Oreochromis niloticus: one gene and its partners. The protein of the gene in region 2 interacts with the protein of the main gene of each other region in a pairwise test. Links are inferred from orthologs where the notes say so. Each region holds a gene or a part of one and is shown on either strand. Other genes may lie near its edges. The genes, in order: CAP-Gly domain-containing linker protein 4, trim32, ptcd2 and ubiquitin-conjugating enzyme E2 variant 1.

What was found.
Region 1: the proteins of trim32 (region 2) and CAP-Gly domain-containing linker protein 4 interact in binary tests that used the Homo sapiens proteins (3 or more experiments, as listed by UniProt). The two-hybrid records come from large-scale screens. The link is inferred for Oreochromis niloticus from reciprocal best matches to the Homo sapiens genes TRIM32 and CLIP4.
Region 3: the proteins of trim32 (region 2) and ptcd2 interact in binary tests that used the Homo sapiens proteins (3 or more experiments, as listed by UniProt). The two-hybrid records come from large-scale screens. The link is inferred for Oreochromis niloticus from reciprocal best matches to the Homo sapiens genes TRIM32 and PTCD2.
Region 4: the proteins of trim32 (region 2) and ubiquitin-conjugating enzyme E2 variant 1 interact in binary tests that used the Homo sapiens proteins (3 or more experiments, as listed by UniProt). The link is inferred for Oreochromis niloticus from reciprocal best matches to the Homo sapiens genes TRIM32 and UBE2V1.

What each region holds. Positions count from the first base shown.
Region 1 is NC_031983.2:24,619,702-24,627,573, forward strand, and holds the start of CAP-Gly domain-containing linker protein 4, read right to left. Parts: upstream 3,014-7,872; 5' UTR 2,546-3,013; coding exon 2,506-2,545; intron 2,007-2,505; coding exon 1,860-2,006; intron 866-1,859; coding exon 726-865; intron 235-725; coding exon 141-234; intron 1-140.
Region 2 is NC_031972.2:19,941,869-19,949,761, forward strand, and holds the start of trim32 (E3 ubiquitin-protein ligase TRIM32), read right to left. Parts: upstream 3,001-7,893; 5' UTR 2,854-3,000; intron 2,320-2,853; 5' UTR 2,308-2,319; coding exon 271-2,307; 3' UTR 1-270. Other genes in the region: astn2 (astrotactin-2), read left to right, coding at 6,625-6,947. UniProt on the Homo sapiens protein: E3 ubiquitin ligase that plays a role in various biological processes including neural stem cell differentiation, innate immunity, inflammatory resonse and autophagy.
Region 3 is NC_031972.2:15,726,714-15,734,253, reverse strand, and holds the start of ptcd2 (pentatricopeptide repeat-containing protein 2, mitochondrial), read right to left. Parts: upstream 3,008-7,540; 5' UTR 2,979-3,007; coding exon 2,849-2,978; intron 2,475-2,848; coding exon 2,382-2,474; intron 2,297-2,381; coding exon 2,167-2,296; intron 2,071-2,166; coding exon 1,953-2,070; intron 1,850-1,952; coding exon 1,771-1,849; intron 1,664-1,770; coding exon 1,572-1,663; intron 1,475-1,571; coding exon 1,361-1,474; intron 1,266-1,360; coding exon 1,191-1,265; intron 1,105-1,190; coding exon 991-1,104; intron 692-990; coding exon 470-691; 3' UTR 1-469. UniProt on the Homo sapiens protein: Involved in mitochondrial RNA maturation and mitochondrial respiratory chain function.
Region 4 is NC_031984.2:9,991,356-9,998,941, reverse strand, and holds the start of ubiquitin-conjugating enzyme E2 variant 1, read left to right. Parts: upstream 1-4,583; 5' UTR 4,584-4,690; coding exon 4,691-4,712; intron 4,713-5,703; coding exon 5,704-5,852; intron 5,853-6,804; coding exon 6,805-6,930; intron 6,931-7,586. UniProt on the Homo sapiens protein: Has no ubiquitin ligase activity on its own. The UBE2V1-UBE2N heterodimer catalyzes the synthesis of non-canonical poly-ubiquitin chains that are linked through Lys-63.

The DNA of each region.
Region 1 (7,872 bases), on a different chromosome or scaffold from region 2:
TGCACTTACTGAGGTATACAGAATAATGTTCAGCAGTAGAGTGGTCACATAAATTAACACACACATACGTCAGAGTAGATGTCTGTTTATTTCTACCCTGCAGCTGAGAGTGCTTATTCACCACCTCTGTCAATACTTACCAATGCCTGGGGCTCCGGCCTTGCAGCAGTAGTGCAGGAGGCTCATATCTGTCAGACCGTCTCGATCATTCACAGCACAGCCTCTCTTTAGGATCTGTGCAAAGAAAAGATATGCAGTATGTGCCACTAAGGACTTGGTGTTGGCGTGCAGAAATCTTCCATAACAGGTTAAAATGAAATTAGGGGGAAATTGTGTGATGAATGACAAGTAATTCAAGGCTTTCATAACTCTACTCATCTTTAAATCTGGACAACAGGTGTTACGTAAACTGACATTGAAACAAGGTATTTATTTCTCAAGGGTGATAGTTACTCAGAGAAAATGATCGCCTTCTTTTACCCTTGAGATGAGTGCTTCTCTGCACAGTTTACTGCAATGCAGCTACTTTGTGTAACACGGGCAGAAGGGATTTGGTGTGTATCTGAACAGAGTCCATAACAATGAAAAAAAATAAATCAGAACTTATATTAATCTGAAGTCCTCTGAAGTTTCAGTTGATTATATTATGACAAAAATAAAAGCATTACAGCTACAGAAGGGACCGCTGTGAAATTCCGCAGCAGCTGGACATTTTTTAATGTCACCTCATTGCCGATGAGGTCAATGTTCTTCTGAACCTGGGGCACCCACTGCCTGAGGACAGCAAACAGCTCTGGTATGGTGGTGCTGGGATCCAACAGAACCTCCCTGCATTGCGGCTCACTGGGGTCAAAGAAGGAGAACTCTGGAAGCAATGAAGAGGAACGAAAGTGACACATGTTAAGTATAATGAGGAGTGGGACCGGAAATATTTCTCTCCCGTGTACAGACATGAAGAGAGCATGTGTGAAACTCTGCAGCACAGACGTTTATTGCAGACGTTTCTGCAACTGACTGTTCAATCGATTCAGCAAATTACTAATCTTGGGAAATGCCCTTGCTGCCCTTGCAGAGGCAAATGAAAACAGATGTGACAGTAGATGGCATGCCGTGAACCAAATGAGGCATTAGATGACCCGGCTGGGGCTGAAGGTAAATGGCTTTCACTGTGAAAGGCCAAAAGTTAACACTAACTGTAGTCGGCTAAGTCCGTAAGTATTTGGGCATGAAATTTTTCATAATTTTATCTCTGTACGCAACTACAGCAAATCTGAAATGAAATACTTTGATTAAAGATTCAACTTTAAGAGGGTCTTGGGGAAAAAAGGCATTAAACATATAAAAATTAGACTGTAAATTACATCACTCAACTTAGAAGTAATTGAACAGTCAAGTGTTACTTGACTTCTGTTCACCTCAAAAACCTAGCACCAAATCAACACAGTAATTTCTTAAAGAAATCAAACTTTCTTAAAATGCAGAGTCAGTACCAACTTTTAAAAAAAATTGTGACCACATCCAAGTATTTAAGGACATTAAAGCAAATCAGCATCAAACCTGCTGAAATGGCTTTACGATTAATTAGGTAATTCAAGATATAGACGATAACAGTCACAACGTTCTTGTTTAAAAATAAATCACTACAAAAGAACAATGTCAAAGTGTAACTAACATATCCAGCTACATTATTAGAACCCAGAGACTCTCTATCACCATCATCGCTCTGTGTCAATTTAAGCCATCAACCTTTCTTCAGTCTCATATCTTGTGGCATTTCACAGCCTGTCGATGCTGCAAAGAGAAAGCGTTAACTAGCCTGAAATGTCACATAGCTGCACAGTGAGAGCGTGAATACTCACCACAGTCACTGGGCATGGGTGCAGAGGCCACCTGGTGGATCACTGGCCGCTGATGAGAAGAGAGTCTAGCGCGGCAGCCCAGGACCGTGTCGCCTTCAACAGGCTCTGAAACATCCTCCTTTGTCATCTCCCCCTCAGGGCCTGCGGCTGGAACAATATTAGAAAGCCTATTCTGAGAACACAAGTAGGTCTAATCTCTCAATAAAAGCACACAGGCTAGCTACAGCGATGTTTTCATTTGATCTGGCAGTGCAATACAGGGAAATGTAACTTGTATGCACAGAACTAACATAATATAAAAAACATGGTATTTTAATCTGTGGTGTCGCCTGAAGAATATAGGGGGAAGGCGCATTCAAGCTATCACCCCAACAAGACAGGGCTTTTCAAAGAATGTCAGCATTTGACTCATAGCACCTTTGAGAGATTCCTTTGCCAGCAGATTAGAAAACAAAGAAAGGTTTTTGGTGAACACACCAAACTACGAGCCTAATCTCAAAAAAGTGACACTGTAATGCGGACACAGGAAGCTTTCACAAAGGAACCTTGGAGGCTGAACTAGAAGCATACACACACACCCACACACAGGTGTAAGCCTGGGAAAGCAACATTGAGCCTAAAATCTTCCCAACCAACCCTCACTCACTGTCATCTTCTCCTTTATCCTCTTTCTTGTTGATCTCCATGTGAGCCTCCCAGTCGTGCTAAGCTAAAATCAAAAGACACAGACTGGGTCCAGTAGAACATCTAACCAAAATCCTTCCCAAAATAACTCCAAAGCTCATTGACTGCCCCCCTCCTCAATCTCCAATAACACCCCCACTCTCTCTGATTATACCCTGTTGATCCCCTGACTCCCAGGTCCAGCAGCTATTTACAGCCTGTACACTTTCAAGCCAAGGAGCTTGTATATCTGACTCTCCCGGCTGGAATGTCACTCTCACTTTCCAGTCCTGTGAACCTCTGACCTCACTGACATAGAGTAGCCAAGCGTAACCCCTAGTGGAGGGAATGTGGCCTGTAGGCTGATAGCGCAAACAAACAGGAGGGAAGTGGTGGCTTTGATTAGAAGGCCTGTCGTTCACCACAAAGCCCAGTATCCATTTCCCCCGGACAGCAAACATCAGCCCTACTGAAGCAACCATAGGACAGACACAGAATACCTATCAGCCCCAGAGAGAGGGTAGCTGACTCTACACCCTGACCTCCATCCATTTGGTGTAAAGGAGAAAAAAAACCTCACTGTCACAATAGGGTTGTATTATCAAATAAAAGCAATTTCTTAAAAAAAAAGTATTTGAGCAAATTTGCAAGATATTTGTAGAAATATTTCAAGAAAAAAACTCATATTTCATAAGAAAAGGGGCTTAATAATATTAACCACTCTATTCTCTTTAAGTGCTTAACCGAACCACGATATTTGATAAGTGGACCCGCATTTGCTCCAGAAGAGCCCTGAAACTGAAGCGCCCTTTTTTTGATTAGCTTGTGGCACTTCACTTCACAGTCTGATTTTCCAACAGCATGCTGAGGTGAAGGTCTGACAAAAGACTAATTATTTTTCAGGAAGTTTGAAAACTTTAGCCTCAACTTTCCGAGTCACAAAGATGCTTTCTTTTAACCTGGATGAATTACACATAACTGAAACAATGTACTAACAAGCAAATTCAGATAACTCATATCAAGACAGGAGTCATCAATGTTCTCTGTTATCCCAGGCTTCTGCTTCAGCCTCTGAGAGTGCTCAAACATTTATAAAAAAAGGGCGTTTGATGTGTCATTTCACCCATCTTCTGCACAAAGTTGACAGATCAAGTGCTACCTACTTCAGTCAAAAAGTATCAGAGGAACAGGGGATAGAAGTCAGTAAAAAAAAATAAAAAATATAACATCTAACATCTAAAAATTCTCTAACATGCACTTTAGCGCAGTCAGATCTAAGTAAAATTAATTTTACTGATTGAATTTTGTAGTATTTTATTCACAGCAGTGTGAAGCAGACTTGGCAGTACCAGAAGACTCAACAGGTTTCATGTATAACACGTTTTTCTTCAGAACAGAATTAGTATTCCTATTAAGGTGAAAACTAAAACAATCAATGAAATTGTGGCACTCACAGACTATTTTAAAAAGAAATAAATGTGTTTTATACATACAACCTGTTGATTTGCATTTTTACATTACCATTAAAGGAAGCTGTGACGTTAGAGCAACACAAACTGTGTGCTTCAAATAGTCAGCAGGTGATGCAGAAAATTAATAAGTGTGTCTATGGAGCAATGTCACACTCATTTAATGTTTAAAAAAACTTGAGAAATAATAAATAAATAAAAGCCTGTAGTGAGTGCTAACATTCGTGTATTAACTCAAAAGAATAAATTATTTTCTGCAGAATTACTCGCTTGCCATATTTGCAAAACCAATGTTGCTTTTTATCATTTTCTTTTTTTGATGATCATTTCTTTAGTCTTTTTTTATTACATAGAATTGCTCGGACTCAAGTGGGTAGCACTTAAATGGCCCATTTTGTGCAAAAGAAGAGTGAAATGGCAAATTAATTACTCTATTTTTGTGAGCATTCACTGAGACTGAGTCAGAAAGTCTGGGTTACAGAAAAAACTGAAATTATCTTTGACCAAGAATTTAGGATTTACCAAGCTAATGCAAAGAAAGCAATGACCTTTCTTAACAGCACACCTCTCAGGAGAGTGAATGTGCATGTTTGAAGAGAAAGAGAGTGTCTGCCATCAACATGTAACTGTTGATAATTTCTTCTCCATTTCTGTAATTTCATTGTTGCAAACAGAACATTTGTATATAGATGTATGCTTTAGCAGTGACTGTAATTTCCATAGTTCATGCTAATAAAGAGTGAGATGAAAAACTACTACCAACCTCTCTGAGGTCACTGACTGGCTGTGTAGAGATTAGGTCTTTGCAGTATGACTTGAGACAATGGCCTACTTCTAGAATAAGCCTCTTCTTGTTTGCCTGACCTACATGATGTCACCATTCCCACAGCTACCGAAGAGACAGCACTCGCATATTTTTGATGACTGTGGCCATTTAAGCACCCATTGGCAAGCTACCCATTCTGGCTGACTGTAATGTATGTTGATCTTTTTAAGTTCCATGCTATATCTAGAAAACTATTTGAATTACATCATTAAGCTCATAATGACTATAACGTCAGGAGCATGGAGCTTCAAAAAACACCCTGAATTTTCTTGAAAATTGATAGCATTTCGTGCACTAGCATATTTGAAGGCCATAAGTAGAAAGAATAATTTTACAGCTAGGATGTTGAAATTGAAATAAAAATTATATGTATGTGTATTTTTATTGAGATATTCCACACACAAAAAATGGCATCAATAAATTTAATTGGATTTTTCTATAAAGATTAAATGTTTAGTGGTAACAACATATCCAAAACGTTTGTTCACAGGCAGCATCCTTGACCTCCATCCATCCTATGCGCCTCATGCACCAGGCCAAATCATGAACTATTACCCCCTGCATTTGTTTGCTGATGTGAGGTGGGGTGCGTGGATTAGCTTGATTATGCAAGATAGAGGTTCCTGTTACTCTAATCGGAAGCAGGTATGCACTCAAACAACAATAAAGCCATTAAAAGTTATATTTTAGACAGGAATACTTTAAGTCCTAAATGACCACACTCGGTCGCTTGAGCTTTAATCAGCTTGAGAAAAGTTATGCAACTTATTATCTAACATCCAATTATTGGAGAGATGGCTTATTTGTGGTTGTTTATACCAGTTTGTGTGACTTAAGTGTGGCTGATTCATTTATATCCCCCAAATCGTTAGCCAACTTCACAGTCGAAGAGGCCATCCCCCTAGCAGTAGACACTCCCTCCTCATCTCATACTTTTGTAGCCCTTCAGCAGAGGTAAATATAGCATGTCATCTTTTCAAACGTCCACACGTTGATTTAATTAATTTCCAAATAACTTTGTCAGCTAAAAGTGTTTTTAATCGGGCTACAAGCTGACAGTAACAGTTAGCTTGCTAGCATATGTTCAAAAACCGGCTCGGGCTTAGCGACAGATGAAGCACACCTTATATAACTAACACTGCAGACATTGCTCAGTCCCTATAAGCAGCTAGCAGTCCCTGCTTTCACCGTGCAGACGTGAAAGTTACTCAGAGCCCTCCTCTCAGTCACCTTAGCTCCCTGACGTTAATGTTCCCCAACACGAACACTGGGCCAAAAACATCTGAGCTACTTACAATGCACTTAGCGAGCAGAGAGAGACACAAGCATCATGTTAGGCTGCTTAATATTAGCGTTACCTTCACCTCCCTGCTTGTTTTGATCCGCCCATGGGGAAAATGTCAGGTAGCGGATTTAATTTCCGTCCATTCTAATTGGATGTTGCACAGCTGAAATACTTCCTGTTTCAACATCTAGGCTTCAGAATAAAGGCGGTTAATGTAAACTTCCGGTTTTTAAAATAAAAGTATTACAACGACCCATAAAAATAAAATAAGAAATAAATACAACTAAATAACTTTTGAATTGTTTTTGAAAATTAAAAAAACCCGAAAGACAATAAAAGAAACTAACCTGCAATATCTTGACATCATTTGCTTCATGTAAACATATAAACATGCCATTAAAGACACATGTTCATTTTATGTATTTATTATTCATTTATTTATTGAATGAATAAATGTTAAATTTATTCTTTTCTGGTTTGAGCAACAATCCACTAATAAAGTTAGGGGTTTTTTTTCTGCCATCCAGTTACATAATATAAAGTGGCAAACCTACAAAAAGGCATTATTTTAGCTGGCCTGAAAGTTCCTTCAATTCTGGGATTGTTTGCCACATACTAATGAAAATAATCAACAGCTGAATACCAGAACCTGCTGAAGGAAAATACCTCGAAATACATAAATTGCACTGTACTATTTTGGTTACAGAAATTTTGAATTTTGTTTTTCTGTTTTTGTTGGGCAAGAAACTGTAGGCGAGTCGACAAAAGAGAAAAGACTGTATATTACTTTATGATTACTTTATGTAATTAAAATAGCACTGTTTAAACCCAGTGCTTTAGTTTCTTATGGAAGCACTTTCATGACTGTTAAGTCCATTTCATGTTTTCATTACAGAATTCATAATTGCTCAACTAAAATAAATGCTCTGTTCCGCTGTATAGGAAAAGGATACCCATTTTGTTGATGCACTGCTTTATTCTGAAGCACCCAACCTCCGAATACAACAAACCTCTTACTTTTAAAAAGAAAAAGTAAGCTGCCACAAAGATGGATGGTGCAAGAGGTCACTTTTCAGTCTAATGCCTCTCTTATCATTGGCGGTCACAGTGTGGGAAGTTGTGTCTGAACATCTTTCTTTTCAGGAGAAGGTAATTTCTCAGGGTGACACTTTTCCTCCAATGTCCATTCAGACTGACAAGCCACTTTTAGTGAAGATTCAGGTGCTGGTGTTTATTGAACCTGAAGAGCACTCTGCATGTGTTGCTGCCTCTGTCATGAAATAAAGAAGAGGACCAAATTGCAGACTGCTGAGACGGACTTGGAATAAACAAAAAGCAAGCCTTTCGTGTGGCTGTTGTAGATCCAGAGCATAAAATAGGAAAGGGCAAAAACAAAAGAGACCACTGCAGGGGAAACACGCCAGGAGAAACCAAGGCTGGAACACAGTATGACGAGCAACCTGAGGCTTCAAATACACACAGGAAACGTAAAGGAAACAAGACACAGCTGAACTCACTTGGAAGTAACACTAAAAAGATACTTAAACTACAGGTTGATGAGATGAGAACACAAGAACACAATGGTTTTTAATTTGTGTTTATTTTTTTCTGTGTTGATGGTCATACCAACTCTTTAAAGTATAGAATTATGGGAAAAACCGACTATAAGCACAATATGAATGTATAGTGAGGCAACATTACTGCAGATTTTTAAACAGGCTAGTCTTGATTTGATTTACTTTAGAGTACTGGTTCTCAATGGGAAGCAGG
Region 2 (7,893 bases):
CACAATGTAAAATGAGATTGACATCCCTGCATTATAAGAAACGGATTCAACTTGAGTTACTCAAGATAAAACCCAGTAGACTATAACCTGAACCTGAATTGAATTGACTGAACTACTGATTTAATAACCCAAATGAGAGCTACAGTGAGAACTGACTGGACTGCAGCTAAATTAAAGAGTGTTAAATAAGAGTATGTTTCTTCCTTTTCCAAACTTCTTTACTTCAAGACTTACTCTGATGCTCATGTGCAATTACACTTTGTTGTTCTTCTAAGAAGTAGAGGAATGCCTCCTCTGAATGTATGTGTAGACTTTAACACAGTGGTCCCAACAATCCAGCACTAGCAGCTGTCCTTTCTGGGTAGTGGCCACTCCCACAGGACAGGTCAGCCCTTCCTGGATTAAAATATTGTATCCACCTTCTTTTGGAAACTGGAGGATTTCTTTCCTGCCACTGTCTGTAACCAGCAAATCTCCATTGGAATCCACACACATGCCAGTGATACAGCGGAAGTCTTCCGTCTCCGAGAAGAAATGGCTGAGTTGTTTGCCAAGCTGGCCATCAGTACCCACCGAGCCAATGGAAAAGCCACCCTCCAGGTGGGGCTCATTCTGGCGTTTCTCAAAGTTCAGGGCCAAGCCCTGGGTAAAATAAACCGTTCCAGCTGCATCACATGTCACAAACTTTGGCCGTACAGCAGAGCATAGTCTGTTGTAGCTGACCACACCTACGTTGCGGTCCACCGCTATACACCACAGCTTGCCACCTTCGACATCTGACACCACAAACTGGCCTGATGGCATGGCAGTAATACCCCAGGGTTTAATCAGTTGGTTCTTGTGGCAGGCCACACAGTGTCCATCCATGGTGTAAACTTTAACTGAGTTATCATAGTTGTCAGTGACACCAATCAAGCCTTGTGCAGTCACAGCAATAGATAAGGGGATGAGGTTAGGCAAATCAGCCCCCAGGAAGCTCAGGACAAAGTTGTCAATGCTACTAGCGCTGCGCCGAATTTCACGTTGGAAGCCTTTGCGATTAAAAATCTGGATACGGAAGTTCCCACGATCAGCCACCAGTACCTCACCTTGAGGGGTCACACAGATGCTGACAGGCAGATTGAAACTCCCAGGTAGAGTTCCCTTGGAGCCCATCTTCTTCACAAACTGGCAGACTGGGGGCCCTGAACTTGCCCGCGCCGTTCCAGGTGAACCTCCTCCTGCATCCATAGACTTTGATTTAAAGCTGCTTGGAGAACCACACACTGCCTCCTCCACAGCTGCAACCATGTCAATGTCTCGGTAAAGATCCACTGGAGCCACCACTTCACCTCCTGTAGCTCCCGCCCCCTCTACATCACTTTCAAGTGCAATTTCTAACCCACTCTCCTCATCATCTGTATTGATAGTGTAAGTTCTTGTGGTCAGCTGGCCCACTTCTAGAGGTTTAGACTGCTCTGTTCTGATCAGCTCTGGCTGTTGCAGTTGAAAGGTTGTGGGTAAACTGCTCCTCAGATCCAGTTCCTCGTCATCACTGTCTCCGCCATCATCTTTTAGCAGGGCAATGTCACTTTGTCTTGCTCGCATTGTCAGATAATCACAGCGTGACACCACTTTGACCTCTGCAATGTTAAGAAGATACGTCTGCTCCTCCAGGACCTGCGCATTGAGCTTTTCTACTTCTGCCATGGAAGTCCTGAATGTCCTTCGAGACCTGCTGAGCTCCTCTTGAAGACGTAGCTCAGCTGTAGTGTAGTCCTGCTGTATTGTTCGGTACTTTAGTCTCAAGGACTTGGAAATGTTTTCAATTACTGTCTTTTTCTTCTGAATTTCTCCTATAACATCACGGAGAGCCTCCAGTTTACCACCCAGGTCCTTACGACGCTGTTCAGCAGCCACCCTTATCGGCTGGACTGAATGTCCTTCATGCAGGTGGCCCTCTCCTTTGCAGAGCTCACAGAGAACCGAGGCACAATCATGACAGTACTGTCGCGGCAGGCGATTGCAGCAGGATTTGCACATTAGGGCGGCGGCGGCAGCACTGCAGGACATAGTGCAATCGAGAATCTTGAGCACAGTGAGATTGTCGGCCAACTGGGAGATGCTGCTCATACGGGAGACCTTGCTACAAAAGGGGCAGCGGACACCATTGATAGTATTGGCCAACAGCTTCTCCAGACACTGCCGGCACACTGTGTGACCACACTGCAGGAGCTTGGGTCTCATTTGTTCCTGGTTGTAGGTTTCCAGGCAGATAGGGCATTCGAGAACCTCCCTCATTAGATCTGGGTCAAGAGCAGCTGCCATTGTGGTCCTCACCTTAAATGGAAGAAATGAAAAGTTCTGTAACACTGTGCCACACTGTGTAACACAGAAGCAGACGAAACTAACAGATATTCAAAAAATAAACACAGGATGCAGCCACGCTTATTTGCCAGGTCAAGTTTAAGGAAGATGCTAGATAACAGAGCAGATTAGATCAACATTAACGGTTAGGTAGACACAGTTCAATGACGAGGAGCTACTGAAAACCGACATATGGTGAGTGATGGCGTGTATCAGCAAGCTAAGAGACACACCGTGTCATGCTAATGACAAACGGGAGTACTAGGTTATAACCTACACCAAAATAATGCTAACTTGTTGTTTTACAGTAGGTTGACACTGCAGTCCAGACTTACAAACGAAAAGTAAACCGTAGGCCTCACCACAATACGACAAATGCCCTTAGCCCTGCACATAAACAGCAGTGTTATTCAACGACAGTACTGACTTTGAAGGGCGTGCATTCAAACGTAAGAAAGGCGACTCATCGTAAGAGTCTCTCGAGGCATTTCTGCTTTGAAACATTACCTTCACTTCACTGTTTTGCTGGTTGAAAGTGCAGCGCTGTTGTGGGGCGTTCTGTATCTTTCTGCTATGCAGCTGCTAGTAAAGACTGCAGTGCTGACGACGTCACGTACACACAACCGGGATGTTACGCAATACGCACAGAGGCGAGCCCTACGGTTGTTTTGATTGGCTGCCGTTTAGTAAACGGAGAGTGCAGTTTTTCAGGGTTACTAGAGCTGTGTTTTTCATGACAGCGCCACCTAGTGACTTGGATGACCTCAGAAATTCCCAAAAGGAATGCAACTCTATACCAAATGTTTGTTTGTTTTTTATACAAAATTCTATTGATTTGGTAAGATTGGTATATGCAGTGAATAAACACAGAGGCAAAAAGCAAGAGTAAGCATTGCATGTTTAGGTGTGATATAAATGCAATTAGATGCATTCATAAAATAAGATAAGATAAGATAAGATAAGATAAGATAAGATAACCTTTATTAGTCCCACACGTGGGAAATTTGTTTTGTTACATCAGAAAGTGGACAGTGCAAAGTTATATAGCAAAATTAGAGAACACTTGAATAGAATAAGAATAAGATACTGTACACAACTGTACAGAATAGAGTAGAATAAAATAAAATACTATATCCAATAGAATAAAATAAAATAATATATACTCACCACTTTCACTAGGTCCAGAGGGCATCCTAGAACAGAGCTGGCGCTGCGGATCAGCCTGTTCAGTCTCTTCCTGTCCCCGGCAGAGATGTTGCCACCCCAGCAGACCACACCATAAAAGATGGCTGAGGCCACCACAGAGTCATAGAAGGTCTTCAGGAGTGGGCCCTTCACTCCAAAAGACCTGAGAACCATATGTGTCCTCCCAGCAACTTGTTAATTCAACAGTAAAATGCAATAAACACAATAAAATTATTGCAATGTCATTTTAGCAGAATATCCTTCTCCATTAAAGCTATCCCCTTTTAAGTTAGATAACTGGTTAACTTGTAACCAAGTAACCAAACTTGTAGCTGAGAAAACTATTCTCCCATAGCATACCTGAAGCAGTGTTCACAAGCTTTGTTTTTAAAAGAAGGCAGTAATTACACAGAGTGACCACTTGATGTCAGAATAGGTCTACTTAGAATGTTCACACGATACAGATATCAGCTACAAAATTAAAACCACTGACAGGTGAAGTGAATACCACTGGTAACCCAGTTACAGCACAATGTTCTGGGTCCCGGCATTCATGTGGATTACTCTGACATGTGCCACCATTGTTGCAGACAAAACAGCACTGGCTTGCCCCATAGGTCATGTCCCACCTATTCTGCAGAAATGCCGACCAGCTAAGGCAACATGAGTCTGTGATTTTGACCTGGTCTGCAAACTCTCCTGATACCAGTCAAACATCAATGGGATATGCAGGAACAAGCCTGGAGGAGGCCCCACCCCACAACCCATAGGACCCATCAGATTAGCTGCCAGTGTCTGGTGCTAGACATCACACCACACTGCTGAAAACTCCCATGTCAGTGCCCCAGTGGGTGAGAGCTGTTGTGTCAGCTGCAGAGTTGCAACACTGAGCTCGTGGCTTTAATGTTGGAGCTGATGATGTAATTTACTTTAACAGGACTATCTAAAAATGGCCCACTTTAAGATATATCCTAAGATATACTTAATATTTCTTTTAGCCTACTATCATCAGAGCCGTAATTGTTGTGCTGCACTTTTTTCACTATATTAGTTAAAAGAAATGTATATAATTCACAAGATCTGTACTTAAAGCAGGGACCTGTTAAAATCACTAGTTAGTATGGACCTGTTACAGTTGTCTTACTAAAGAAATAACATCATCCACTCATAGTGAGTGTATCTGTATCTAATTGCCTTAGAAAGATACCTGACTCTGTTGCTGTTGTTGCGTGGGCAACATCACTCTGGCCAAAGGGGATGGGTCCCTGTTGACTTAATTATGATGCAACCAGTCTACAAAGAGATTTTAATTAACAAAGACAGATCAAGATTAATAGCAAGTAACCTCACCACATTTATCTCTTTACAGTGTTTTGGTGACAGGCAAGTCTTGCACAAGCATCACATCTATTCCACACAGTAAAGAGCTGTCACAGCTAAAGAGGCAACAAGCTGGGTCACTCCTTAAACTGCGATTTTGGGGTAATTTCCCTAAATGTGTGTGGAGTGTACTTTATACAGCACAAATAAGCAGGCTCACAGACATAGGTGCACAATGCTTAGGTGATATGGGATTTATTGTGGGAGCTGGTTGACAACATCTCTTTTCATTGTCTGTGCTTCCTTGTGAAGTGAGTGTAATTGGGCTCATGGGCCACCCATTGAGCCTGTTTGCATTGTGTTTCAAATGAAGTTACCACCCACCTTTAAAGTGTCATCTAGGTGGACACAGGGAATAAGTCACAAAGACACACAAAGTTTTCTTTGACACACAGACTTACGGAACAAGTAATGGCTACCTGACATGAAATACAGCTTAGATTTAATAACTAAACATTGAGCACAGATGGTTATTTTAGAGCCACTTTTTAATATTATCCTGGAAGAATCCACTCTGGTATATTTGTCTAAACCCAGTATTCTTTTTGGATAAGACACTTAATTGTTGCAACAACTTTGTTGTCAAATTTTTACTTACCTCGATTTTTAATTGAAACGATCATGGAAATGCCACATAAATGTAATGCAAATTAGAATAGTTAGAAAATGTTTGTTTTGTATTTGCAGATAAATATTTCCCATTTTTTATAAGATACCTGCTATCTTCTTTTATGCATTGCATGCTGTAAATTTGTTATTTGATGCCTGCAGTTTTAATTTCTGCAAAGCTAATTCTTAATAAGCTAATTGGCCTAACTGAACATGCAATGAAGAGGAAGTAAGTGTGAGTATAGAGCAGGATTTTGCACACTGCTGTTTTTGTACATGTGTAGAGGCTGATCTTTTAATTTACGCTGATAAAAACTGATTTGTTTTCAGTAATATGCGTCTGATTTTGCATATTTCTCATTGTGTTTTCTCCACAGTTTGTTACACAGCGAGACAGTGCATTATATTTAATTGTTATATCATGAAAGAAGCTTTGGTGCACTCTTTTTTATTGTTTTAGAAAAAATATATTATCACTTAGTTGGAAAACTCGCATTTCTTTGGAAAGTAAACGGAAACAAAAGCACATCTGCCACATCAGCACAGATGGCAGATGTGCTCCACTGAAACATGTGGCTTGCTGTGTCCTCCAAATCAATCACTCAACACCCGATTAGCAATCTCTCTCCTCCCCTGTTTCTTTCACTTCCTCTTCTTTCCATGGGGTGTGTTATTTTCCTGGTTAAGGAGGAAATGATGAAAAAGAATCTCCCCAAACTCCAGTGAGGACATCAAAAAGTGGTAATTGACACTTATGAGAAGAAACCAGGCACATCCCCTCCCCCCTTCTTGTATCCCCTAGCCATTCCTCTTTTGTCTATGACAGCTGATGGTCGTAAGGGATTAGGTTTTTTGTTTTTTTTCTTTCAAGTAAATCCAGATGGTGATATTCTATGCAACTAATCTTCTTCTTTTCCAAGCAAACAGAGTTAAGAAAAAGGGGATTGTCTTTATAATTATGAAAGCGTACATACAAAAAATGAAAGAATCTGACACTGTGGCATCAATCATTTAAAGTAAATCAATCTTGCGCTTAATTGTTTATCTCCTTCCTTTGACCAATGCCCCATATAACACCCCTTTCTCCCCCGAAAACCCCTCCAGAGGCAACAGAGCAGGGTATTGGTGGAGGTGGGCGTCGTGAGCTGAAGTCACTTCCCTTCATCAGCTACCTGTCGGCGCTGCAGAAGAGCCAGCTTTTATCTGATGACATGGTGAATGGCGTGGAGATCCGCTGCGAAGAAAAGGGCAGCTGTCCAGCTGGCTGCCACCTATGCCATCACCAGGCCATGATGGGCGGAGTATCGGGAAGAGGCCGCAGTGGTAACGGCAGGACTGGTGAACAGCCTTCCCCCATCCCTGTTCTGCTGGAAGTCAGCCGCGTCGTGCCCCTTTACAGCTTGGTCCAAGACAACATCACCAAAGAGGTGAGAAAGCAGCGTGGGAGTATAGGAAGCTCTGTGTCTGTGTGCCAGCTTACTTGCACATGCATGTGTGCAAAGGGAAAAGGGACAGATGAGAATGTGAACTGTCAACCTAATTAAGAGGTGTGATGCTACTCAAAGCAAAAGCAATCCGCATACAGGAATAAACTTTCACAACTTTATTGAAACATCAGATGTTTTTTTTTTTTTAATGAAATGCTCAATTTTATCATTAATAGCGCAATAGATAGATAGATAGATAGATAGATAGATAGATAGATAGATATGCACATCTGTCTTCACATCTTTACACTGCTGGTGGTTTGTGCTGACAAGCTGGCAGCTAAATACTGCACCACTGGGCATTCAGTTAATGGTGATGTAATCAAACTTTCTAACTGTACATATTTGTTGTCGTCTGAAGCGTTTAACTGATGCAGTTATAAGAATTCAACTCTAGGTGGCATTGGTTGGTTGACTTTGACTGCTGGAAACGAATATTGTAATACAGAGGGACTAAAAAGGATGACATCATGGTTTTCTCTTGTGGGGAAGTCGATGTGTATATGTGTGGGATATGCGCGCCCGTGTCTAAACAAGTATATACAGCCGAATGTAATATCAGCTTAATTGCCACGTGCTGCTCTATGATTCATCCCATTTGAGATGTCTTTGGATCTTTTTGCAGAGAAAGTTAATCATATCACGTTTCCTTTCCATAAGCAAATTTACTAATGGGGTCTGGCTAAATATTAGACCATATTTTCTCTGTTTGGTCATTCAGCACTTTTATCTTTTTGATACCTAAGTTTTGACAACTTTGTCTTCTCAGTGTGAGTAAACAAGATTTCAGGTAACGTCCACCTAAGACATGTGCATGCATATATACAGAGAAGTTTAGCTCATGCTTTACCCTTATAAAGCATTCAGCAATCAAATGTATGTGTGT
Region 3 (7,540 bases), about 4.2 Mb from region 2:
CTCCAAACGAGCCTTACAAATAAACCTGTCCCCGTTTCTGATTTCTTGGTAGCTAACGATAGTCCTGAGTCATATGCATTAACTGTCAAATGACTCAGCATTAAAGATGGCAACCTACCTTTTCACAACAGTGTTGCTTTGTGCCTTCACATAATAATTCATTAGTCTGAGAGTTTGCACAGGTACTGTGAATTTATTTTAAACACATTTAACATAAAATATTAAAGTGTTCTTTATTGAAGATGGCATAGGCTCTGTCAATGATGCTGATGTAGTAGAAAAATAAACTTTCCTCTTGGCAATTTTGCTTCTTTAGGTGCAATGCTATGGGCTGTTGTATCTGCATTGGCGAGGACAAGCACGTTTTAATAGGCTGCTGTTCAGGGCCCTTAAATATCATATGAGTGCTTTTATAGCATCAAAGTCAACTCTGGGAAATGTCAGAGTGTTTAAATGGCCCACTCTGGCCTCACTCTGACAGTAAAGTGGACTGTAGAGGCTTTAGAGTTCTCCGGCTAGTTCTCCTCTCCAGTCCTATTGGCGCTGGTTTCCTCTTCCCTGTGGGCGTGCGACACAGCATGTCATCGAGCGTCTGCTGAGTCACCTGACCGTCTCTTTCAAGTTGAGTCACTACCTGCTCCATTTTTATCATGTGTGGCCTGCCCTGACTCCGCAAACGTAGCAAATCCACCTGAAAGGGATGACACCAAGTCAACTCTCGGGCAGATGATTTTTCTCTGAAGCTTGAATCAACAATGTGAGTAACATTTCCTCAGAGTAGCTCAGATTAATAATAACAGCACAAGGATACATCAAAATTCCTTTGGAATAGATTTTTCCAATGTTTATCGCAGAAAAAAAAAAGTGTAGAACTTTAAATGCACCACTCATCTTGTACATAAGCATTTACACTAACAACAGTTATGTAACCCTAACCAATCTCCTGGCAGCTGTGCTAGTTTTAAGTAGCTGTAGCTGTGTTTCACTTACCACCTCCTGAGAAAACTCTGGCTTTTTTACAAAAGATGGACTTTCTGGCAACATGGCTGCAGAAAGTATAGAAATAGCCTCTGCCAACGCTCCAGACATTGTTAATATTAGTACCTAAAGAACAAACAAATTACACAGAATGACAGGAAGAACTAATGCAAGAAGTAATGCACATTACATTTTACATGCTGCACCTTTACCTTAAAATTTTGGCATAATCTGCTGTCGGTGCTCATAATTTGTGAAAATAATGACTGAGCCTTTTCTAGGTCACCCTGGAAAACACACACACAGAAAATAAAATAAATGATGCTTTAAATATGTGCTACATCTCTCTTCAAGCATAAGAGGTACTGAATGTAAAACTCACTCTTCGAAGTGCTAGTGCTACAGCGAAGCAGTAAGTATGCCTCGGGATGAACTGCCCTCTGGTCTGTTCCTCTTCTATGAGCGCGATGCAGATCCGGTAGGTCTCTGCCGTATTCTGACCAACACAAAAACAGGGCATCAGTCCAAATATAAGAATAAATAAGGTTGTAATGTTAAATGAAAATAAAAGATTAAAATATCTGAAACATTACCAGCTTATAGCAGGTACCAGCTGCTAACGTGAGAGTGTCTTTGTTGAATGGTATGCCTTGGCTCCTCATGGTTCTTAGAACCTCCAAAGCATCTGCAATAGTTAAAAGTTTGCATTATTATATAAATATCATAATCACTGTGGGAGAAACCCCCCCCCCCCAAAAAAAAAAACCACAGGAGAGTTAACCTGTCACTTACTTTCAAAGGAGCCTTTCATGAACAACATGTCTATCGCTATATTAAAGGAGGTGGTGTCGTGGAAAAATCCTTTCATGCTCTGTTCAGACAGGACAAAATAAAATGTTATTAGTCAAACACTGAAGTATATGCCCAGTCTAGTTATTGTTGTAAAACTGAAGTCTGGATGTTGTACAGTTCACCTTATCCGTGATTGTAGCAAAAGCCATGCTCTCCAGACCCAACTCATAGCACAGTCTCATGAAGAGAGGACCAAATTTGAAGTCTCCATACAACAAGTTACGGTTCTCTGTGTGATACCTTATGAGAGCAAGCCAGCAATGGGTGAGTGAGGTTTGGCTGGGTTGTTTTTTGGTCATTAACAAAAATCCCTGTAAGTGAATGCTGCACGCTTACCTGTAGATGGCATCTCTGGCTATCTGCATGTCATCTGCTGACTGGCACAGGTGAAGGAGAAGCTTCAACTCATCCCGCAATATCAGCTCATTCCTTTGCAGCTTCTGACTGAATAGGTTAATATAATTCCCTGTAAAGTTAGGTTTACACAAAAAGTAAGTTTTATACGACATAAATTTGCAGAACTGTGCCAGTGACAAGAATAACTACTTCACCTTCCGATCCACTGACATGGTGAGCCACTGCCAGCTTCCTTTGCTGGAAGTCTTGTAGCTTGATAACATCTTCCGACAACAGATGCCTTTTAGCTGTAGGGTGGTTAAAATGCGTGGTTGAATCCATAATCAGTTACCACTACATGGCAATTATATACGGGCAAAAATAACAACTATACGAGAAGAAAGCCCTCACGAGTCCCTGTGATAAGGTAGCCTTGCATAGAATAACTTGCACAATACTCACATAGCCAAAGAGAACAACAGTGGCAACAGTTAAGCTTTTAAATCCAAATTCTGGTGGACTTTATTTCAAGTTCAGTATCCCCATTAGCAGCTGTACCTTGCTTTAATTCACGTGTGCCTGCTTTACAGGGTGCTAGCTGCCCCCGCTATGCAAACCACGCAGTTTTCATACTACCTTTTAAAGAGTGACAACATTTGTTGGCGACTTTTGTTTGTCTTACCTCCTATGCAGCCTTCAATCCAGCCTATCTGTAAAACACCGTAAAAAACTCCTTTAGAGGGCTCATATAATAACGACCGACAACATTTACCAAGTCTGCCCAGCGCCATATCTCCCACAGGCTGTACCATGGCAATGAAATCAAAGGGGATGTTATTGGTAATAATAAAGCAAGGTTTTAAATTAAAAAAAACAAAACAATTTCCGCCCTGGGAATTAAGCCATATTAAAATAAAACACTTAAAAATGTCAATATTTTATTTAATCTGAAAAATATAATTAGTTATTATTTTTAATTCCGTAATGTGGTATTTCCAGTTGGTATGATCCAAAATGGCACCGCTTAATGACCCGGCTCAGTTTTTTTAAGCAGGTCGAAGGAGAACAGATTTTTCATTATACATCAGAAATAATGTGATCGTCATTTAAAACGAAGCTTTAACTATATTCTTTGAATCGTGGTTTCCAGAAAGGCCACGCGAAATTTTATTACTCAACAAAACGGCATCAAACAGGAAAATGTGTTTATCTGTTAACCAGCAGGTGGTGCTGTTGTGCTACAGAACATTTCTGGTTTGGCGTCATTGCTTGGAGCAGCTACAGTGTTTGTACTGTACCCACACAGTGAGGTATAATATACACATTTTAATAATGTAAAATGCAGGGACTAAGAAAGTCAGATATGAGCTTACACTCATATGGTATTATTCTTTGTTACTATATTGCTGTTTACTGTAATAGAATAGAATAGCTTTTTATTGTCACTGTTACAAGAACAATGAAAGGCAGTTTGGCATTTCTCCATGTGTGTGAAGTACACAATAGCGTAAGTATTTACACAATAACAGACAAATTTAAATTTACACGAGAAAGATATGTAGAAGTTATACATACACCTGCAAGTATACATGCACATACATAGATATATGTATATATACATATATGCATTGGTACATACATACACACACATATTTCCACATACACACTTACATCTATATACATACACATACATGCCATCTAACTAGCAGGTGCATTGAGAGGTGCAGTGTGATCAGTGATGTTGCACATTGAGTGTGTGTGGGGGGTGATATTACACATTGAATGGGGGGGGGGGGGGTGCTGTTCCAACTGTACTAAATAAGGTTATAATAAATACAGTTTAAAGAGGCAGGGGTGTTGGTTGCATTGAAGTATAAATAGAAATACGATTTATAAATAAGGTGTAATGTCCATGAGTGTTGGCAGTGCAGTTATCCTCCAATCAGGGTGGAGGTAGGGCATGTTTGACAGCCTGTGGGTAAAAACTTCTGTTGAGTCTGTTTGTCTTTGACCTGATGGACCTGTAACGTTTACCAGAGGGAAGGGGGGAAAAGTGAGTGTCCAGGGTGCGGGGGGTCTTTGATGATGATGCTGGCTTTCTGCTGATGTCTGCCTGTATAGATGTCTCTGAGGGGGGTTAGTGAAGTGCCGATTGCACGCTCTGCTGCCCTCACCACCCGCTGCAGTTTCCACTTATCCTCCGCGGTGCAGCAGTTGAACCAGAGTGTGCAGCAGTAAGTCAGAAGGCTCTCGATGGTGGAGCGGTAGAAGTTTACTAGCAGTCTTTGGGGTAATATTTGTTATTGAACAAACAATGCATTTATATTTATATTTAAGTCATTTCCGGGCCTGTTTGACATTTACAGTGCTAAGATAAATTCACCTCCTCTGAAAAATGTTTTCTTCTGTTTCAAGCTATCATTTCAGATCCCCTTGTCACTTTGGGCTCCTCTATGTCTATATTTTTAAAAGGTGAATCAAAAACTAACACAATGTTCTCTAATGAGCAAACACCTATATCACGCCAAATCATATTTTGCACTTATAATAAGACAAGATAAGATAAGATAATACAATTTGTGTAATAGATCCATAATTTACATTATAAAATCCAAAATCAATCCAAAATTGTATGCCAATTTCATGTCATACAGAAAAAAAAGACAATATGGGCTATGAATGAATTCCTATAATTACTTTAAAGGAACATTACTTTAACATGCAGTAAGTGCCAAACTCTGCTGCTAGTTAGTGTACCTATTGACCCGCATGGTATTACATAATCATGCCTTTGCATGCGTTTTTTTTTTTTATCTTGGTCATGGCAGGGTTGTAAGAAAAATGTCAAAAATGTTAAAATTCAGACAGACTACTACAGTAAAAGAAAAATATACAAATTGTTTATTAGCAGCAAAGCAATTCCTAAATGGAACACAGTATGCAGCAGTTTTTCCACTGTCTTTTTTCTCATTTCCTACAGGTTTGAATGTTTAGGTGGTTTCTCCCTGAAGGCAGTGGGCAGCCATAGATGAAGCAATTTTTCAGTCTGAAACCATTTCGCAAAGCAGTGTAAGTTTAAAGTTTTGAAAAATTCATTCCTATAATTAAGGTATTTTCTTAAATGAACTCCTAAGATGGATAGTCTTGCACAGAGAAAATAGGGCTGGGACTGGGAGGATCCCCCACAGTTGCCTTGGCAACATGAACTCAGCCCATCCAGCTCAGATTGCTTGCTCAGCCAATCAGACACGGGGCCTTGGATAATTTATGGTTTCCTGCAAGGTGCATGTGTCTCTATGGGTTTCTCCTTCTCTCCCTCTCCTTCTCTCCCTCTTTCTGTTTTTATAACAGCATATGGCTGTTTTCACATACTTTAAAACCTGTGTTGCTTATCTATAGCCACAGGGTGAGTGATCAGTGTGATGGCAGCTTGTGCAAAGTTGCTGGAATGATGCAATAATCGACAGGGAGCACAGCACTGTTTGTAGGGGTTCTATTTTAGCACTCAGACTCTGATTTCCCTTGACAAATGGCCAGGTTCAGCTGACAGATCACAGCACTTACATCTTCTTTGATTTATCCCTGCGTGCACTTCCCTTTAGTTTTGGAAATTGCCTGGGGTGCCCCATCATCATTAATAAATGTCCCCACTGAGACAGTTTTGGAACAGAAAAAAAAAGAAAAACAGCTGGCAATGATTACTGTGAGAGACTGGTTGTGTTAGACGTATAAAGCCACAGTTAAACAGCTTTTCTTCATCTGTAGAATACCTTATGATTACACTGATTGCAGGCTGATCTTAAGGGCGCATGGCTGTGCTTAGAGTTTGAAGAAACAGTAGGGATTCTCCCTTATTTGCATAACTTATAAATTAGTAGGTTTAAGGAAATATGCATACATTAAAAAAGAAAAAAGGCTTTCAGTTTACTAGAGTGCTGTATATTAGCTAAAAGCCCTGAAAGCTTGGCTTGCAAGCTCAGTGTTCACTTGCTCTGAGACATCAAACATATGAAGCTGTGGTCTCCCACTGCACAACAAAATGACTCTGAATGGTGAAGATGTTTCCTATCAACTTGATCTGCTGTGTTCCTTCTTGGTGATCTGTTCTTTCTCAGCCAGTACCTCTGGGGCATCAGATCTGAAAGGCTCTTGTGTTTAGTTCATGCTGCATCTCCTTTCTACCTTTTACTTTTTCATTTTCCATATTCTTGTGACACATTTCTTGTTCTCTGTGTAGCTATCAATCTATCCATATATTTTTGTTTTTATCTTTAAATCCGCTGTGGGCCACACACCGTTTAATTTCCTTCACTTTTTCTTTGGAGTGGCATTGGTTTGTTAGCATCTGTTTAAGTATCTTCCAACAAACAACAAAGCATATGCATATTATGCATTAATTATGTAATTCATGTTTTTGTATTGCTTCGCTGGAAATGAGATGCCAATGTCAGAATAACTAGAATGCATTTCAGACAATTTTACACTAACGTTATACTTTTTTATCCATCAAAAACTTTTACTGTGCACAATTAGTTAATTAGTTTTTAAGTACATATTTCTTTTACAGTTTGACAGATTCTCATTAATTATGCATGTATTGTTTCAACAAAGTGATCGATCAAAAGTAGCTAATGACTTGTATCTTCAAGCCTTTTGGTCACGGCTGTGCTTTGAGCTGAATAATACCAATGCTAATCCACAAAATGTATGGGCTAACCATGCTCATTTTTTTTATTTGGCACATTAGCATGATAATGTTTACTAATTGGTAACAAACATCTAACACAACTTTGGAAAAATATGACATGTGACGGTAAGAAAAACTAGCATAATTCATTTTGAATGTAATAAAATGTCATGTAGATTAATCTGGTCATCAAATCATATCAGTAATACAAAAAAAAAGCATGAAAATATGAAGTATAGAATCTATTGGCAGTATATAAACCAAAGCTTAAAACACATTTACAAGATTATATTAATACCCCTACAGATTGTATTAAAGCACTCACTCTTAGTTATTTTAGCCTCATCACATCCCCTTAGACTACCTAAATGGAGCTTCCAGTCCACTCTGTAAATCTCTGTGGGAACATAAATCTCTCCTCAATTCTGACTTTCAGGGACATTTGTTGGCAAGGAGGCTAAACGAAGTAATTTCCCTTCGGCCACAATTTCACTTTACAGCCAACAATCCCTGCCACATGACTGAAAATGAACAGATAGTGTCGAGGAGTTTCTATGTAGCCAGTGACAGATTTCTAATTATAGATATAGTACCAACAGATACAAATACAGGTGCTCTTAGTTTGGTTGGCTAAACCAAGGCATACTGGGCATTTGATTTAAAAATAAATAGAGATCACTGTATAAA
Region 4 (7,586 bases), on a different chromosome or scaffold from region 2:
AGAATTTGTGATCGAGCTGTATTTGGATTTTCCGCTTAGAGACAGTGAACTTTCAGTGGATTTGAACGGTGTTTTGCGACAGTATGTGGTCAATTAAGTATTTTTTTTTCACACCTGAAAAATTTAGTGAGAGCAAATGAAGATGTTAGTAAGTGAGATGGGCAGTTAGAATCTCTCCTCGGACTTTATTGAATCGCCTTATCCTCTTGCCAACAATGTGGGAAAAGAGTTTATTGACTGACTTTAAATTGCTCTTCATTTGACTCTTGCTTCTTCTGAGGTAAGGTCCATGTGGATGTTGTTGTTGTTGTTGGTTATGTACACCGGTGGTGGGGATGGAGTTCTAGATATCAGATTAATGCCTTGATGCCTTTTTGTTGTCTTCCAGTTGGAGGACTTACAGTGTAAATAATATACTGTATTTATAAATAAACTAATAAACATATTTCTGTGTTTCTCTTTCTTTCTGTTATCATCATTATTATTATCATTATTATTATTATTATTATTAAAAAGTGTATAATTTAATCTGTTTTAGGAATTTAGGTGACGATTTCACAGGGTACACAGAACACCACCTTCTCATACATAATTCTATTTTTTTTAACCTTGTGATGAAATTTTAAAAAGCTAATTTGCATATACAAGTTTTAATTTGAATTATATTAGCAAATCTTTTTGCAATTTATTCTTTAAAATGTATAGTGCAATTTATTTAGTTTTTTACATGGGGAAAAAAATCACACCGATGATATAGAAGTCTCTAAAACTCGCAAAAACTCACATATCAAACATGATACACTTTAGCATTAAAGGGTAAAATAACCTGCTTGATTGTGTTTATATTTGCCTAAGTAAAGACTTTTTCACCATAGCTTTTTGCAGAAAAGGTACAGTAATCGCCAGCATCTGATGGTCTTCTGCTGCTACTACAGGTACTTGTGTCAGTGGTTAAAACATCCACTATGAAAAGCGTATTAATAATTAATGACCCTGTCTGTACCCGGAGCCTGGCCCTCGACACATTTACTGCTAATCGATGTGCTTCTCACAGATGCAGCTGTCATGTTACATTCCAGGCTTCTGTTTATTCCAAATAAAACAAACACTTTAAATTTACTTATTCAGTTAATCCTGTTCAAGCAGAACAGACAAATTATTCCGCACTCAGTTCGACTACACCATATTGAGGAGAATCCACAATAACAAAAGCATTCAGCAGTCATTTCATTAGGGACACCTGTTCTGCTGCTTGTTAATGCAAATATTAACCAATCACATGGTACAAAGACAAATCTATTTAAGTGTGTAGACATGTGCTGAAGTTCAAACCAAGCACCAAAATGGAAAAGAAAGGTGATTTAAATGCTGATGCCTGATGGGCTGAGTATTTCAGAAACTGCTGATCTACTGGGATTTTCCTGCACAACCATCTCGAGAGGTCACGGAGAACCATCTGAAAAAGAGAGAATATCTTTGCAGAGCTGCAATTCTCTGTGTGAAAATGCCCTGTTATCTCAGAGGTTAGAGGAGAGTGGCCAGACTGCTTTGAGCTGGTAGGAAACTAAGTCAAACAACCGCTTTATACAACCAACGCACAACACGTCAAACTTTGAAGCAGAAACTACTCCAGGTGCCACTACTGTCAGTTAAGATCAGGAAACTGTGGCTACAGTTCACACAGACTCACCAAAACTGGAAAACAGAAGAATGGAAAAAGAATGTGCCTGATCTAGTGTCTTGATTTCCTGCTGTCACATTCAAATGGCAGGGTCAGAATTTGGTAGAAACAGCTTTCAAGCATGAAAGCATGGATCCATTCTGCCTTGTCTCAACACTTCAGACTTGTGATGTTTATGTAATGGTGTGACGAATATTTTCTTGGTACCCTTTGGACCCTTTAGAGCCAAATTGGCATCTTTAAAATACCACAGTCTGCCTCATTATTGTTGCTAACCATGTCCTTCCCTTCATGACCACATTGTATCCATCATCTCATGTTGGTTTTCCAGCAGTATAAAGCACAAAGCTCACAATATCTCAAACTGGTTTCTAGAAAATGACAATGAGTTCACTGTTCTCAAATGGCTTCCACAGACACCAGATCTCACAGAGAGTACCTTTGGGATGTGGTGGAACATCATGGATATTGTTTGATATCCCAATTCTTTGATCTTTGGGCTGAAGGAAGAACAACACTCGGTGTATAAATGCTCAACCAACAATCTCTCGCACTAAGCATTCACATTCTTTCTCTCTTACAGCGCCTAAGTGACGACCTTGGCTTCCTGTTTTATCTCCTGATGAGATGGGGCAGAAAACCTCTACAATATGTTCTGTTCTCTTTGTAATCAGAAAAGGAAAGCCATGATTCGACACAAACAGCATTTCTTATAACTCAGCAGTATAATGCATCATAAAACAGTGTAATGATTTCACAGTCTTTAATCCAAGGCATAATGTGGCCTATAGCCGTATAATGATTCAACAGTTCTTTGATTAGAAGTGTAAGGTGGCATAAAACAGTATAATAATCTCACAATATGCAGCCAACAAACCTACAGCAACTGTGTGATGCTGTCATGTCAGTTAGGCTGGGTTAATTGATGACAGGGTACACTCTGGACAGGTCGCCAGTGTATCGCAGAGCTAACACAGAGAGACAGACAACCATTCACACTCACACCTATGGACAATTTAGAATCATCAGTTAACCCAGCTGCATTCAGACTCCACACAGACAGGCTGCTGTGGAGTCAAACTCAGGACCTTCTTGCTGTGAGGTAACAGTGCTAACCACTGCGCTGCCCTATGAATACTTGTGATCAATAAATGATCAAAAGGGGGGGATGTGATGACACTGGACAGCTGCTGTACTCTGTACTGTTTTCTGAGAACTTTGCCAAGGCAAATTAAGATCTCACAGAGATAACTTGTTTTATTTCAGATTTTCGTAACAGCTGATACTGACATAACAGCGTCACACAGTTGCTGTAGGTTTGTTGGCTGCATATCCATGATGTTCCACCACATCCCAAAGGTACTCTCTGTGAGATCTGGTGTCTGTTGAAGCCATTTGAGAACAGTGAACTCACTGTCATGTTCAAGAAACCAGTTTGAGATATTGTGAGCTTTGTGCTTTATACTGCTGGAAAACCGACATCAGATGATAGGTACAATGTGGTCAAAAAGGGAAGGACATGGTTAGCAACAATAATGAGGCAGACTGTGGTATTTTAAAGATGCTCATTTGGCTCTAAAGGGTCCAAAGGGTACCAAGAAAATATTCGTCACACCATTACATAAACATCACAAGTCTGAAGTGTTGAGACAAGGCCGAATGGATCCATGCTTTCATGCTTGAAAGCCGTTTCTACCAAATTCTGACCCTGCCATTTGAATGTGACAGCAGGAAATCAAGACACTAGATCAGGCAAATTCTTTTTCCATTCTTCTGTTTTCTAGTTTTGGTGAGCCCGTGTGAATTGTAGCCACAGTTTCCTGTTCTTAGCTGACAGGAGTGGCACCTGGAGTATTTTCTGCTTCAAAGTTTGACGTGTTGTGGGTTGGTTGTATCAAGCGGTTGTTTGACTTAGTTTCCTATCAGCTCAAAGCAACCTGGCCATTCTCCTCTAACCTCTGACATCACAGGGCGTTTTCACACAGAGAAATACTGTTTCTGAGTCAAGAACATCTCTTCCTTTAATTTGCAAGCTTAGGTCAACCTTTTGACACTGGACTCCACAGCTTACTTGCTATGTAATAAGCCTGCAGTCAGTCAGTGAATGACCTAATCAAACTTGGCATGCTTTAATCTATCCTTGCTAATTAAGGGTTTCATTCTTTAATCTCTCACAGCAATCTTTTTCTTCTAATATATTGACGCTCCCCCATCTTTGTTATTTTAATTGTGTTTAATTGTGGCCTTAGCCTTCAGAAATACCTTAATTTTTCATTCCCCATGGAGCTGAGGGTGCTGTAAAATGGTTTCACATCAGTAGATGTAGATGCACATGCATGATACCTATACCTACCCTACCTACCTAAAAGTAGATGCACATGCTGATGAATGACCAGAGGCCCATCCTCCTCCTCAGTCTTGCTGGATTTCCACAATTTCTGCAGAAGCACAAAACTCGGACCTAAATTACATGTATACTGATTTATCATGCAATGTGAATAGAACTAGGAGAGAATTACATGCTACATTTGAAGAAAGATGATTGAAAGATATACCGTAAAGACAAAATTCTGGACAAATACTCGTGCCTTTAGAACTGGCTGATTTAAAAACCCCTGGAGCAAAAGGGCAGTTAATAATATCTCTCTTTAATGAAATGACTATTAAAATAAGCACAACATTTTTTGATGCTCTGACAGAATTAAATCATTTAATATAGTGACCTGCCTTGGAAAGTATGCCAGGTTAGATTATCTGTAAATTAATCTGCTACTCTGACGACAACAACAACAACAACAACAACAATAATAATAACAACAACAACAACAGCAATACTACTACTACTACTACTACTACTAATAATAATAACAGTTCCGTTTTATACAGCCACATAGCTAATCAGTTTGCTTAAAGCAACAAAGGAAGCGCCGTTGCTGTCTTCTTGCTCGCGCACGCACCGCTGGCTACAATGGTAAAAGTGCGTGCTCGCTCCCGCTGTGTAGCGACAAGATGGCGGTCGCCGCCGGATCAGGTAAAACGGTTGAGACGTATTAATCACTGCGAAAAGCTATTTTTGAACAGTGTTGTCAATGAATTTTTACCGCGTGCCTGTTAGGTTTTATGATTAGATTGATTCTGCATTCAGACGCTGTGCTATGTTGTGTTATTACATAGAAGCTAAAACAAAGCTGAGGAGAATGAATAGGAAGCGATGCTAGTAGCTAAGCTATCTTAAGTTAGATAAAAGGACAGCAGGTCTCACTTCAGTGCTGTTTTATGGGCGTGGAGCCGTTACTCGCCAGCCATCAGCAAATATGAGACATTGCAACTTGTTTATGTATTTGTGTATTCATTTATACATTTTAATTTTAATAGTTTAATTTAGGATGCTGCTTAAATTACAGCATCCTGTTGTCAAACCACAGCACCGCCACCCCACCGGATAATGACAGCCTGTTTGCGACATCAGATTATTTACAGGCGCGATGTGTTGCAAACCGGGTGTGTAGCGTTACTTAAATGTCATCAAGAAATGCGGGTGCATCCCGCAGTAAGACGGTCTTCCTGCCCGGCTGTTAAACGTAAACAGTGACTGTACGTTTTCCGAGAGCTCATGAGGGAAACATGACCTGCGCTGAGCTTCACTGAGCTTCTCTGGAGACGCCGGTGAGCTGAGCTGAATTGCTGCAGCAGCTGGCAGTGTGACTGGGTTTGTTTGGATGGCTCTCTTAAGGGTGCAGCCTCGTCGTATCTTACTGCGGAGGCCAAGTGATGCGGCACCGCCGGAGCCAGATGCTCAAGTCTCACAGGACGTGAAAATAACACCTGCTCTTATCAAAAGGCTCACGCAGGCTGCAAAGCTGAGGCGTCCCTTATTTTTTTTCGGTCTTATTGAGTCATAACTTCATAACTGCAAGTCATTTTGTCTGGCACACTGCTGGCAGTTTTATTTAGCTTCATAAATCTACCTGTGGCTCTGGAAGTTTGCATGACTGAATGGCTGTGTGTTTGCCCACAAACAGGCGTTAAAGTTCCTCGCAATTTCCGGCTCCTGGAAGAGCTGGAGGAAGGTCAGAAAGGTGTGGGAGATGGAACGGTGAGCTGGGGCTTGGAGGATGATGAGGACATGACCTTAACACGATGGAGAGGGGTGATCCTTGGCCCCCCAAGGGTTAGTGGTGCCATTTTTAACACCTGGATGAGTACTTTGCAGGAGCAGGGGAGTGTTGACCAAGCCAAAAGATTAACAGTTACTTAAACCAAAGGTGTCAGGTTTGATTTGTGCATCGCATGATGTCGGGGAGCAAGTCAGGTCGTCCACTTGAAGAAGAGGAAAACATCGAGGCACTAACACTACTTTGCAATCCTTCGAATGATTGTTTTTGAATTAAAACAGAATAAATGTGAAGCAGAAGCACAATTAAACTCCTGACTAAAGACCAATTATCGCACAAGTTTGCAGCATAATGTTGTTTTTAATTGTTGACAGATGTCCCAGTATCTTTTTAGTTAGTTTGTAATTATAGGTATTTATAAATACTTTAAAAATTGCTCAGTGCTAAGCTGTAAAGTTGAAATGACCTATATGAGACTGTTATTTAAAAATGTTGTTTTTAAATTAATGACTGCAGTCCTTTGAGGACCTCTTTCACAGGACCATGGACATTACCGTATGTCAGACTGCAGCTGGGTCAGCCAGTTTGTCTTCCTCTACAGTGTATTCATTTACTGTGCGACTGGGTAAAACTGCAGCAGTGCTGTCACAGTTACAGCCTGTATGCAGGGAGCATAAAAAAATTTTGGCATACCACCAAATGTTTTGGCCAGAGCCAAAAATTGTAATAAAATTAGCAGTTATGTTAATTCTAGCAGACATTTTTGTTGATTAGATTAAAGCAAAAGGCACAGATTTGTGTAAAAACAAGGTACCGCAGACTCTTTAAACTCTCCCCAGGGCCTTTGTGAGTCAGGAGAAAAAAACCCTACAAGGGTATTTCCTGCCTTAGTTTTCACATGATGTTGTTGCACATAGTGAACATTGTGTACCAATTTTTTTTTTTTTTTGTTCTTCAAAGTTTGGTGTGCTGTCTTCTCACCTCTCCCTACCTTTCTTTGTTTAACAGACAAGCTATGAAAACAGGATGTACAATCTGAAGGTTGAATGCGGGCCAGGATACCCAGAATCACCACCTTTTGTCAGATTTGTGACAAAGATAAACTTGAATGGCGTGCACACCTCCAACGGTGTGGTATGTGAATTATTTATCATTATTTTTAAAATGATTGGCTCATTTTGGATGCACTCTGTGGAAGGAGCATCATATCTGCTCTGTGGAGTCAGATAAACAACTGATCAACTAGCTTAAACTGGCCTATCACTGATATGTCAGGATATATGATGTTTCTTATCATCTTATTGTTTAATACTCTCACTTACTGTTAGAATATTGGCTGAAATATCAATATAAGATTTTATTTACTCCTTAAAAGTCCCAAATGGTCGAGCTCTGCAGTTCTGTCTGGTTATGAGTTCATATCATCATGTTTAGAAGACGGCCATTGTATCCATGGAACAAGAGAATAATAGATGATTTACATTATGTACATCTAGATCTTTATTCAGATGTTTTAGGTTTTTCCAAGAGTTTTTTTTTTTTTTTTAAGATCTCAAAAAATTGGTAATGTGGGATCTTTCTTCCTAACTTACATGAGCACCATGCAAGTTAGGAAAAAAGATGAGGGCCAGTTCAGCCTTCATTCTTATTTAAAAACCCACTTTAAGACTTTTTTTTTTCACTTTTAATGCTGTATAATCTCCGAAAGAGGTGATTATTGTCTAATATGGTCATCTCAGGCACACTGCTCTACCTGTAAACACCCACTTGCTACTCAAACCTTTTATTTT